2 linked regions of the Astyanax mexicanus genome follow. The protein of the gene in region 1 purifies or fractionates together with the protein of each later gene. This does not show direct contact. Links are inferred from orthologs where the notes say so. Each region holds a gene or a part of one and is shown on either strand. Other genes may lie near its edges.

What was found.
Region 2: the proteins of pop1 (region 1) and rpp38 purify together in Homo sapiens (affinity purification with mass spectrometry; 3 studies listed by BioGRID and IntAct, with this or other methods). This does not show direct contact. The link is inferred for Astyanax mexicanus from reciprocal best matches to the Homo sapiens genes POP1 and RPP38.

The regions. Positions count from the first base shown.
Region 1 is NC_064408.1:108,228,113-108,235,526, reverse strand, and holds the start of pop1 (ribonucleases P/MRP protein subunit POP1), read right to left. Parts: upstream 3,248-7,414; 5' UTR 3,111-3,247; intron 1-3,110. UniProt on the Homo sapiens protein: Component of ribonuclease P, a ribonucleoprotein complex that generates mature tRNA molecules by cleaving their 5'-ends. Also a component of the MRP ribonuclease complex, which cleaves pre-rRNA sequences.
Region 2 is NC_064408.1:111,996,401-112,002,786, reverse strand, and holds rpp38 (ribonuclease P protein subunit p38), read left to right. Parts: upstream 1-4,383; 5' UTR 4,384-4,614; coding exon 4,615-5,496; 3' UTR 5,497-5,538; downstream 5,539-6,386. Other genes in the region: acbd7 (acyl-CoA-binding domain-containing protein 7), read right to left, coding at 49-60. UniProt on the Homo sapiens protein: Component of ribonuclease P, a ribonucleoprotein complex that generates mature tRNA molecules by cleaving their 5'-ends. Also a component of the MRP ribonuclease complex, which cleaves pre-rRNA sequences.

The DNA of each region.
Region 1 (7,414 bases):
AAAACGTACCTTCTCTATATTTTATGATTTTTTGCAAGTTTAATTATATCATCAGATTTGAGTTACAAGATACAAAAATGGACAATTCTGAAAATCAAGAGAAGATTCAACTTTTCTTTTTTCTTAATTTTCTAGTTGTGAAAAGCCAAAACGAACAACTAGATCATTAAAAAATTAGATAAAAACACATTTCTTCTTTATTATACTGAATGGAAAAAAAAATAAAAATAAGTTTTATACCCATTTTTTTTTTATTTTCGAATTTAGCTTGATACGGTAATCTGTCAAACCATGATACCCTAGTGTATAATTTAACCACAGAAAAAAGCACCATATTAGAGCATGTTCCCAGCAGAAGTCCCAGTAGATGTAGCGTTAGTATATTTGGATAGCATAAATCACTGTATCATGGTAAAGTTATGTCAATGAGAGGTCATTACAAACTGGTTTTGTATTAAATGTATTAAATAATAATTGTATTTATTAAGTTGGCTTGTCAAAGCCAACTTATAGTTCTTCTTATTCTTCTTATTATTATTATTCTTCTACGCTAAAATTTCTCAACGCTACTCCTCCTACAGTTTTCGAGCTAGAACCACCAAACTTCACAGGTTGGTAGAAACCATAGCCACTTAAGTTGCTTGTGCTTTTCTAAGCGATCGGAGAACCAGGGTTCTAGCACGGTTCCGTCAAAGTCACTTTTTTCCCCATAGACTTCCATTCACACTTTTTTCAAACTGCTGTAAAAGTCACAATTTTCAAGCTAGAACCACGAAATTCACAAGACATACAGAACTTGCAGAGACGTTTCAGACGATATGCTGATCTCACCGATACGATTTACGGTTTTCGTAAAAGTATCGTACGAACTTTCCCCATAGGAATGAATGGGCGGAATGTTGGCCATCTCACACACACCAGCCGATCCTGCGCACGGCCCCCCTCTCTGCCCTGCTCCTCAGTACTGTATCTGTATGGAGAAGAGACTGCTGAACACAACCCACACCAGAACCAATACCACACTACACACACCACACACACACACACCACACATACACCACACCACACACACTTCAAACCACACATACCCCACACCACACACACTCCACATCACACATACCACACACTTCACACCCCACACCACACACACTCCACACACTCACCACACGACACACAGTCCACTCCCCACACTCACTCCACACCACACATACTCCACACCACACAAACTCCACAGTCCACACCACACACACACCCCACACCACACACAGTCTACACCCCACACTACACACACTCCACACCACACCCTACACACATTCCACACCACACATACCACACACCAAACACACTCCACCCCACACACTCCACACCACACATACCCCACACCAAACACACTCCACACCAAACACACCCCACACCACACACAGTCTACACCCCACACTACACACACTCCACACCACACCCTACACACATTCCACACCACACATACCCCACACCAAACACACTCCACCCCACACACACTACACACCACACATACCCCACACCAAACACACTCCACACCAAACACACCCCACACCACACACAGTCTACACCCCACACTACACACACTCCACACCACACCCTACACACATTCCACACCACACATACCCCACACCAAACACACTCCACCCCACACACACTACACACCACACACACCCCACACCACACACAGTCTACACCCCACACTACACACACTCCACACCACACCCTACACACATTCCACACCACACATACCCCACACCAAACACACTCCACCCCACACACCACACATACCCCACACCACACACACTTCAAACCACACATACCCCACACCACACACAATCCACACCACACAAACCCCACACCACACACACTTTAAACCACACACACTCCACAGCTCACATACCCCACACCACACACACTCCACCCCACACATACCACACACAATTCACACAACACCACACATTCCACACCACACATACCCCACACCACACACACTTTAAACCACACACACACTCGATAGCTCATATACCCCACACCACACACACTTCACACCACACATACCCCACACCCCACACACTCCATACCACACACACACTCCACAGCTCACATACCTCACACCACGCACACTCCACCCCAAACATACCACACACTTCACACCCCACACCACACATACCCCACACTCTCCATACCACACACACACTCCACAGCTCACATACCCCACACCATACACACTCCACCCCCACACATACCACACACACTTCACACCCCACACCACACATACCCCACACTCTCCATACCACACACACACTCCACAGCTCACATACCCCACACCATACACACTCCACCCCACACACACCCCACACCACACACACTCCACACCTGACACAAACCCCACACTCCACCACACATACACCACACCACACACACTCCACACCACACATACTCCACACACCACACCACACTCTCTACACACCACACCACACACACTCCACACCTGATACACACAACTCACCCCACACTCCACCACACATACACCACACTCCACACCACATTCCAAACACACCACACCAAACACACTCCACAACCCACTCCACACCCCACACACTCCACACCACACACACACTACACAACTTAGTAACTATTTGACAAGCCAACTTAAAGTTCGTTCACGAACTTTGCCTTTTCTAGTTACTATTATTATTTTTCATTTAAACTTTTGTGCAATGACAGTGATTCGATGTTGTTTAACGCACACAAAAATAGAATTATTATAAACAAACACGAGAAATATTTAAAAAGTGTAGGTCAGCGCATGCGTAGTGCCTTTAGAAAGTACGTATTGATGGGCAGCATATATCGACTGAACAACAGTCAGAAATTAACTGCTAAACGTTACACCCATCGGGAAAGATCAGATCTAGCTGGAAAACAAACACACTTCTGACAGTATTTCTGCTGAAACAGCGAGATGAATTCGCTACTGCTGCAAAACCACGCCGCACTCAGACACTCTGATCACACCTGATTAAAATCATTAATATTAATGAATTAATTCACACGCTGTAATGAATAATCATGTAATCAATGCTCACTGTAGCGCCGGATCAAACGCAGAAGCGTAGAGAGCCTGAATAAGACGAGTTAACACTTTAGTCCTGAACTGAGCTCCACTGTGAGTTAACTGCTTCCCCACCATCAGCACGCCACTACCCACACACGTGTTCCAGCACTTCCGGGTACAAGGGGCTTATGGGAGTTGTAGTTCTGCGACAGAGGCTTGCTTTTTTAAAGAAGAAAAATAAAATAAAAACGACATAATATACATTTACTCATGGCATTTACTTACATTTATGATATACACCAAATAAAACTAGAAAAAAAACAACAGATAGATAAAACGTTTATTTTAAGTTTTTTTTCTCCTGTTTAAATGTATACATCATGTGCAATAAATTAACACATTTTTATTTATGATCAAATAAAAAAAAAAAAAAATATATATATATATATATATATATATATTCAATTGAATATGTGCTTAAAATTAGACAGTAAATTATCAGTAAAGATTATTATTCTAAAAACTACAATTAAGTACATGATAAACACAGAAATAAAATTCAAGAAAATGTTAAAATACAGTACCAGTCAAAAGTTTGGACACACCTCTTCTCATTCAATGTGTTTTATTCTTTTTAATGATGTTTTACATTGTACATTTAATATTAAAGACATTAACGCTATACAGGAACAGGCAGAATTATTAAGTTAAACAAACCAGAACACGTTTTATATTTTAGATTCTTCTAAGTAGCACATTTATCTTTGAGGACAGATCTGCACACTCTTGGTATTTTAATCTCAGTGTCTTCATGAAGTAGAGATACCTGGAATAGTTTTCTCAGTGTCTGGAAGGTGGAGTGTCCTGGAGGTGCTGAACACTGTGAAGCTCTAGATCATCTCAAATCACTCATCACAGTTGATCAGGTTTAGATCAGGGGATTGTGGACAAACACTTTTTATTGTTTAATACGTAATCCCATATGTGTCCCTTAATTGATTGTTTGAATCACATTTTATTTATGCTTTATTCTTCTTTTATTATTTCCATTTTTATTGTTATTCTCTTACACGTTTATGTGAGTCTTTTTGTATTTTCTAATTTATAAATCACTTTAAATGACCATTGTGTATGAAAAGTGCTATATAAATAAACTTGCTTTCATGTCTTTAATAGTAATTTACAATGTAGAAAATACATTAAATAAAGAAAAACGTTGCATCATAACATTTATCAGTTTAATTTTATGTTTCAGGATAAATTTAAACATAGAAAATTGTTTATAAAACTTGTTACAAAAATGTTTTTTTTCATTTACTTCAGTAAAGAAGAAATTGATCTGCTTTTGCAATCTTTAGTGTTCTATTTCTGACTTTCACTAACAGAACTGAAAAATTTACTCTCCTTTCAACTCTTTTTTTTAGATGTAGAACTTAATAATAAACTTACTATTGTTACAAGAAAAATCTAAAAAATTGACAGAAGATTTTTTTTATTTGTCCTAAAATTGTGAGGTGCAGAAATAAAGAAAATAGAAAATTGGAAAATTAGATTAAAAAAAAAACTATTTCTTCTATACTGCACCAAATTGTAAGAGTTACATAATAAAGGTGTTTAACCACCAATTTTCTATTTTCGAAATTAGCCTAAACTGAACTGATAAACATTACACTGACTGAGAAGCTGCGTCATAACTTTTGACTGGTACTGTACATTGTAAGTATGTGTGCATGTATCTTTATACAAACTATCGATGTTCCTACGATGTTAAAAATGAAATATGGCTGTATTTATACAGTATTAAATTAAAGTTAATGCTACTGCTGCTACAGAGTTGGTATAGTTGACAGTCAAAGGTGAGGTAGTTTACAGAAATGACAAATAATCTGCAATGAAATGCTGACAGTAAGAGATTACATACTATAAATGTTTTCTTTCCTTTTTTTTTCTTGTGCTGATAATTAATTGGCCCATCATCTATGTTGTTACATGTGTTGTATTCAGGAACCTTGCAGCTCTAAAAACTGAATAACACTCTGATAATAATCCAGCAAAATGATCTAACAGTCTTTTTGGGTGGAAAAACAGCCCTGCAGCTTTCAGAGGCAGTCTTGTCAACAGAATATCAAATATGCGCACCATCTGCTTTTTTTTTCTTTTTTTAGAATTCATGCCCTTCAGGAAGAGAAGAACAGGGACCACAGCCAATCTCTCATTCAAGTGCTTACGAAAAACTGCTGAGAATAAGAATTCCTAAGAAAAGATTCAACAGAAAAATACATATTTCAACATATTATATTATATTATTCTAATTCCGAACTACTGTAAACCAAGTCTCATTTCTTACTTTAGGCAAATGTGTGTATACTACTCTCTCACCTGCTCATCTGGTCCCAGATGCCATAAAGTTATAAAATCATCCTGCTTTGAGGCAACTCCCTTTGCTGGAACTTATCTTAAACAGACGAGTTTGAGCTGGTTTAAAGGAATCACTGCAGGGAGAAACATGCCTACATAAGCAGAACTAAACTGTCACTACAGATCATTCTGTCTGCATACACTCAATCCATGCTGTGAAGCATGAATAATGTGGGAAAGTGTGAAGACACACTCCTCACTAATGCTGCAGTTCTGATGTGTTCATAAACTCTGTGTAATGTCTGTGGACAACCCTGGTAATGAATGCATCATTTAGCTCCTTTATTTTGCATCCATTTCTGACACTGAATGATGACTGTAAATGCATATCGTCGCTGTCCAATGAAAAACAAGTATCTCCAAAACAGCAACTTTACAGGAGAGATATAAAACCTTTTTTAACTTTCAATGGATGTCAATGTTCAAATAATTTGGGAGGATTTCTATTGGCCCATAAATCAAGACATCCTGACAAAGTATAAGGGAAATGTGGGTAGTTGAAATAATTTAGTAAGCTAAAAATCAACAAAAATGGAGATACTTGTTTTATATTGGACAACAACGATAAAAAGAACTGGTATAATTAATGTACATATTTATTACCAATTAAATAGAAACTTCTTAAGCAGATAAACATGAACTAATCAGCACCATGCCTAATGCCAGGCATGGGCTAGAGTTGTATAATACCTTTTATAATACCCCACAGCATTGAGCTGTGTAGCAGTGGAACTATGATATCTAAAATGGTGGTAAATGTATACATCCTGTGCAATAAATCAACACAATTTTTATTTATCATCAAATTTAAAAAATATATATTTTCAATTGAATATGTGCTTAAAAATAGGACAATCAGTTAAGATCATTATTCTAAAAAAACACAATTAAGTACATGATAGTACGATTCAGTACGTTTGGGTTGAGTTGGAGAGTTGGGGATGAGTTAAGGTGCTAATTTAGATTCCTGGCCTGTCTAACACCTGTCTAAGTACAGTAGTAACAGTCAGGCCTTTTAAAACAACCCCTGTAAAAGAAAAGTGTATTTAAGTATTTTTTTTAAAGTGTACTTAACATGAAAAAGTACATATTTTTTTTATTAAAATATGTACTTAAATAAATATAAAATGTACTATTTTAGAACAAATTACGGCAACTTAAGTATATTTCAATTGCAATAAAGCTATATTTAAACACAACATAAAATCATTAAATTGTTGGGGTATTCATTCCACTTGAGACCACAATGTAAATAATACAAAAGTTAGAAGTAAACTGACAAAATCAATGAACTAAAACTGAAACAAAGTACATTGAAAAAAAAAGAAAAAAAAAAAGAATTACAAAATCAAAAAATAAAAATGCACTACTGACTGTGTACTACAAAAAAGGAAGGGTTTTAGTTTGATACAATATAAATCACCAAAATCTGAAATAGTGTACATGGAACAGAGCATTATTCTGTCTTCATTTGCTATCAGGTTGGTACAAATTAGTGCAGTCACTGGTTGTTTGTGCATATTATTTGAACTGTAATAAATGTGCATTAAACTTTATATTATTCTTCAATCCAGAACAAATTAATTTTTCTAGCATGGTGAAAGTTATTAACATTACACTAGCTGACATTTGGCCTGCCATTTTAAATGTGTAAAGCTCATAATTCTGACTTTGCACCTGGGAAGTTGGACCTTTTAACTGGATTATATATAAAGGCAGCATTATCTCCCATCAGATCTGTGTTCATCTTGGCCATGTGATTGTATTAATAAGGAGACCCCACAGTGGTGCAAACAAAAATAAAAAAAACAGAAATTTCTTCATTAGTAAAAGTAACTTTATTGGTTCTGTACACTAAAAAATGTGAAAAAAGAAGAATCCCATGCAACTACAATACAAGTTTGCAACATGGGTCCT
Region 2 (6,386 bases), about 3.8 Mb from region 1:
ATACAGGCACAATAAATAAAACATGGAAAAAATACATAAACCACCAACCTGCAGAGTCATTTTCCCAGGCGAGAGAGAGAGAGCTGGAGTATGAGATAGTGAGAGTGTGTGTGTGTGTGTGTGTGAGAGAGAGAGAGAGAGAGAGAGAGAGTGTGTGTGTGTGTGTATTCCTGCTGCGTCTTCTGCACTCAGCGTAGACCTGCTGATGAATTACAGTTTACGGTATCATCGTGCACAGTCGCAGTGTGGCAGCCTGAACGCTGATTGGCTGAGCAGAGAGCCAATCAGAATGAGCCAATCAGCACACAGCATTACTGATGACAGAGGAGCACATGCACACCGAGCCCAGCCACAACATTAAAACCACTGACAAGCGAAGTGTATGCAATTTCTAGCATCAGAGAATTAAACCCAGCCACACCACCCTCCCTTATAAAATAACTACATACAAAATAGGGAAGAGTTCCCAGGAGGCGTGAGTCTCTCATATCAGAAGAAATAATATCATTTAGTTCAAGGATTCATGGAGACTTTATTGTCATTCACATCACATGTGGTACATGAGGTGAACCGAAATTGTACTCTCAGGGTCCAGATACACAGATAAAGAGCGATTGTTAAAATAAAATCAATATAAAGATGAAATAAAATAAGATATAATAAAATAAAATACTAAAATAAAATAAAATAAAATAGATATCAAGATAAATACACAAAATATAAAGGAGAGTAGGAAAGCAGCAGCAACGTGATGTCCAGAGTACATATATATAAACTATATATTTAGTTTTAATTATTTATTTATATTTTTATTTATGCTTTATTATTTTTATTTCCATTTTTATTGTAATTTGTAAAGCACTTTGAATGACCATTGTGTAAGAAAGGTGCAATATAAATAAACTTGCCTTGCCTTTGTAGCATCATAGATAATTATGAATGAAGAGCAGTAACATATTACAAGTTACATAATAGGTGTGTGTGCCAAATCAGATAGGTACACCTGTCCCTCAGGAGATAACACTGTTCAAGACTGTCCTCTCAGCACTGCAAACTAAAAACTCTGAGACACATATTGGGTCTTTCCAATGGACACACCCCCATCTCCACAGAAACACCCTTTAGAGATGCCCTGTTACATTATTTTTTATTGTTCTACCTTATTCTGCACTAATAGTTTATTTATGGTCCACTGTTTACATCTCTACAAATTTGTACAGATAGATTAATATATAACTGTGTATTTGCACATTCTTTTTCTATTTGCAGCGCGTTTTTCTATTTGCAGCGCGTTTTTCTATTTGCTGCGCCTGTGTTGTAATTTTGATGGATGTGTTTTATGCTTTTGCAGGGCTTTTCAATTTGCACTGCGTTGGGCTTTCTCGGCCACCGTAGCACTCTCCATTATGTGCTCTAATTTAAAGTGGGCAATGAAGTCCCCTTACTCTCTAACCTGACCCTGCTCTTTTCTTTGAAAAAACAATTCAATATCTGTGGCTGATACTGAATATCCACACACACACACACACACACACACACACACACACACACAGGACGTATCAGGAGTGGAACATCACCTGTCTCATCACATCTTCTACAATTCTGCACTATTAATTAGCTACTACACATACAGACAGTACTAGTCTAGCACACTGGTTTTAATAAAAACACAAACTGACCAATGAAATGGCAGCCAGCCTCATTCTCCCCAGCAGCACAGAGAGAAAGTGGATTGTACCATTTGTGTGTTGAGGAGAGATTACTTTATTTTTATTCTAGAAATTCTGTTAATGATATACTTTTTTAGTTTGGAAGATTTTTCAGCTTATCTAATTCTGTTTAAATATATATATTTGTTACATTTTAGGAGTGCTTGTTGAATTTAGGGATGCTTGAGCCCCCCTAAAAAGGGGCTAATAATGCCCCAATGGAAATCTCCCAAACCAAAAACCAGCTGGTTGAGCAGCATAGCTCTTGATATTTCTGTTGATCTGCAGGCCAAGCAAAACCATCTGACTAAAACAGAAAGCCAGTATGAGCAAGTTGGCCAGGCTGGTTTGTGTCTAAGCTCAGAGAACACATGGACTGAAGTACAATTTCAGATATGAACATTAAACAATCAATTAATAATCCAAATTAACAAGCTTGTAACACATATTTATTTTATAGTTTTAATCAAATATATATATAAAAAAAACAGGGATTAAACTGCATACTAGTATTCTGAGCCTGGTTTTCCAACAGATTTGTATATGTATATATATATATATATATATATATATATATATATATATATATATATATATATATATATATATATATATATATACATTTAATGATTTAGACTTGGCATCTCCTTCCAACTGCCAAAAGTACCAATTGGTCTTACTCCTATATAATATATACATCTACTGAGATACTGTCTTTTGGCTTTTCATTAGCTGTAACCCATAATCATCAAAAATAAAAAAATAAACACATCAGTTACTGTCTATACTAGTTGTTAATTACTGTATATACAAGTAAATATTATTTCCTGACTTTACTGTTGTTATCTTTGTTGATCAAAGAAGAATAAGGTCCTCTGAGACCTTCTTTCTCTGCAGGTTTATTCTTTCCACTCTGGGGACGCTTTCTCTTCGCCATTATACTGTTGCCAGTGGTTTGCTCATTTGGGGCTTGAACAGAGATCTCTGTAAAAGCTGCTTCATGACAATGTCTTCAGCTTGTAAATAGGGTTGTAAAAGCACATCTATAAACCAAAATCTAATTTTAACTAATTTGACAGTGATATACCAAAAAAAAAAAAACACATCACATGACATATAAACAGCAAATTCTTGTCATTTATGTATTGGTAAAAACGTGTATATACTTTTTTGTACTGTTACTTTATTTTATCCTGTCTAATCACGTGAAATTTAACAACTCATCTTTAATGTGCAACACATAGACAGTAATCATATAAAATTATCATTATCATATAAAACATTTTCAAAAATATACTGCAATGCTTGAAATATGTTTAATTAATTTGTTATGACTAAACATTTCACAGATGTGGGACTAACAAAGGATTATTTTATGTTTATTTGAAAATGCATGATTTTTTTTTCCTTAATATTCTGCAATACAATACTGTAATATTAGAAATACATGTTGGAATAAAAAATGCCTTCTCTTTGTTTTCTCTTTAAAAAAAATGCTTGTGTATATATTCTTCTATTTTCTGTTGGATGTAGTTTATGGATACCGCTATACTGTTTGTATTACATTCCAACAGATACTGTGGGACTAATAAAGGATTATCTTAAGTAGATGAAAATGAACAAACTTGTATATTTCCTAAATACACTGCAATACTGCAATGTTTGAAATACATTTTGTAGTTCATAGGTTTCCATGCATTTTTTTTAAAGAAAGCTTTTCTATTTTTTTAACTGTTTATGGATACTTCTATCTAGTTTCTATAGCTTTGACACTGTGACTTTATTATTCCCACATCTGGGGAATTGTCAGAGGGAAACATGTATTTTTCCTTAACCCCTTTACTGGCCTTTGAATGTATACAGGCTACAAGTGTAGGTGATACAAAATCCTTTTTCTCTGCAGTAAAATAACTTATTTACATTTTAAAGACTATGAGGGCTTTTAGTGTCTACTCCACTAAATAATTCCAGATTAGTAACAGGAATCAACCCAAATTCTGCAGGTTTGAAAGTAAACATAAAATCTAGACAACTGTAACAAAACGAAAGGTTTGGGGGACATGAACTGTTTGATTTGCATTCAGGAAAATAATGATTTTAAAATGATCCAGAAAATCTCGCTATCTTTAAGAGACTCCTGAAAGAGCACTTACTCTCCTAACACCTCTAACACACTAACTACTTCTAACCCCATTTCCTTCTTCCCCTCCTTCACTTCTCTATCCATTTATTTCCCTTCGACCTCCTTTAAGCCCTATCTAAAAATGGGTTATCTAAATTCCTATTACTTTTGTACTTCATTATTGTAAGTCGCTTTGGACAAAAGCGTCTGCCAAATGAAATGTAATGTATTTCTAATACATTTACAATTGGAATTTGTAGAAACGTTTATTATCAAACATGAAATCTTTTTTATGCAATGCTTGAATAGAAATCCTCAAGATTTAGGTATGTAACATTAGGCAGAAAATTTATAAAAATGCTGGCCTGTTACTGAATACTGAAATGCTTAAAATATATTTAAAATACGATTTAAATTGATAAAATACGTTTAAAATATATTTAATATAACATATTAATAAATAATGTGTCCATTATGTGGTAGTGTAGTGTTATATAGACCCTGAACACTAGGGGGCGGTGTGGCTTTTTAACACTCAACGCTCCGAACCAGCATGGCGGCGCCCTGTAGCAGCACACGTGTTCTATAGATAGCTGATGTTATGTTGAGCTCAGTGCACACATGTGAAAGCTTTCTGATCTGATCTGAGGTGGAACATCTCTGAACACCACTGTTCAGAGCACCGAGGCTGTGGAGGACCTTTATAAAGCAGGAGCTGGTTTATATATAAAGTTATTTAGTTTGTTTTAGTATCTGTGGCCACGCTGGAGTTATGAGAGCAGGATGAGCACTCCGGGAAAAGCAGCAAAGAAGGAGAAAAAGAAGCCCATCCCTGTGAAAACCTCTCTAAACAACCCTTACGATCTCAGATGGGCTCCTCTGGAGAAGGGCCAGAAGGCATTTATTCTGAACTGCCTCACAGAGACGATAGAAGCTCTGGGGCTTAAGAAGATCCAGGTACGAGTGAAGGGGCTCCGCAGCAGCAGGAGGAGGAAATCCAAGCAGCGGGACTCGAAGCCCCCCGAAGCCGAAAAAACTGCTCGGCAGCCAGGCTGGAGCGACGAGGCCTCCCGGAGGCAGCTGGCCATCGGCATCAACGAGGTGACCAAAGGCCTGGAGAAGGATGAGCTCAGCCTGGTGCTGGTGTGCAGCTCCATCAGGCCAGCCCACATGATCAGCCACCTCATCCCCCTCAGCAGAACCAGGGCGGTGCCGGCATGCCAGGTGCCCGGCCTCAGTGAGGGTCTGTCTGGGGCTCTGGGTCTCAGCAGCGTGCTGGCACTGGGCTTCAAACGAGGAGACACCGCCTTCTCCAACACAGTAGGGGAGATAGCCTCCAAGGTCCCTCCCCTCTGTGTGCCCTGGGTGCCCACTGAGAAGGAGCCAGCCAGGCTGGAGGACCAGAGCCTGGGAGGAGACCCCCATCCTGGTCCTACTGATACTGGAGATCTTACTGGAGATCCTTCAGATCCAGTTAAGACTGAAACGCAGACTGAGGAGCCCCCCTCAAATCCACCAAGGGGTCAAAAGAGGAAGCTTGACCTTTCACATGAGCCTGGACAAGACCCAACCCCAACACTTCAGCCTCTCAAAGTCAAGAAAACCATCCCAAACCCATCAAAAATCCGGAAACCCAAGAAAAAGAAGGCATCAGCTCAGAAGTGACAGTCTGAAAGAAACAATTGCACAATTGCTTTTTTTTTTATTCATTGGACAAATCATAAATCATTGTAAAGACATTTAGGATGAGTTGATGTGAAAAGGTGAACATGTAAAGATTCCAAGAAATGCAGCCAAGAAGGAGAAAAAGAAGCCCACCTTTGAGAAAACCTCTCTACACAACGGTTACGACTTCAGATGGGCAGATGAAATGGTGAAAATGTAAAGTCTCAGCAAACAAATGTTACATGTAGAATTAGAATTGTACCCATTATTATTTGTATTTGAATTATATTTGCACTGGCATTACAAAAAAGCAAGCATTGTCTAGGACTTAATCTCATCTCCATGCCTGTGCCTTTACAAACATATAATAGTTTTCTTTAGATATTGCTTTGTCTATAAACAATGCTGTATGTCTCTTAAAATGCAATTAGGGCTAAAACCTTGTTATAAAACCGGTTCAGCAATGTTTTGTCACAATTTCCTTTGTAAAAAATATCAAGCTCTTCAGATGTCTTGTGTTCACCACAACACTGTGAACAGTTCTGTCTCAATATTTCACATCAAACATATATTTTAAATAACTATACATACAGCCCTAAAAAAAGTATAAGAATATAATCAAGAGGAAGATGGATGATCTGCTTAGATTTTTGCACCACCAGTGGCATAAAGTTATCCAAAAGCAGCGTGTAAGACTGGTGGAGGGGAACATGCCAAGATGCATGAAAACTGAGATTTTAAACCAGAAGTTTTCCACCAAATATTGATTTCTGAACTCTAAAAACTTTATGAATATGAACTTGTTTTCTTTGCATCATTTTTTTTATTTGAGCAATTTCTGATTTTCTGCAAATAAATGCTCTAAATGACAATAATTTGATTTGTAACTT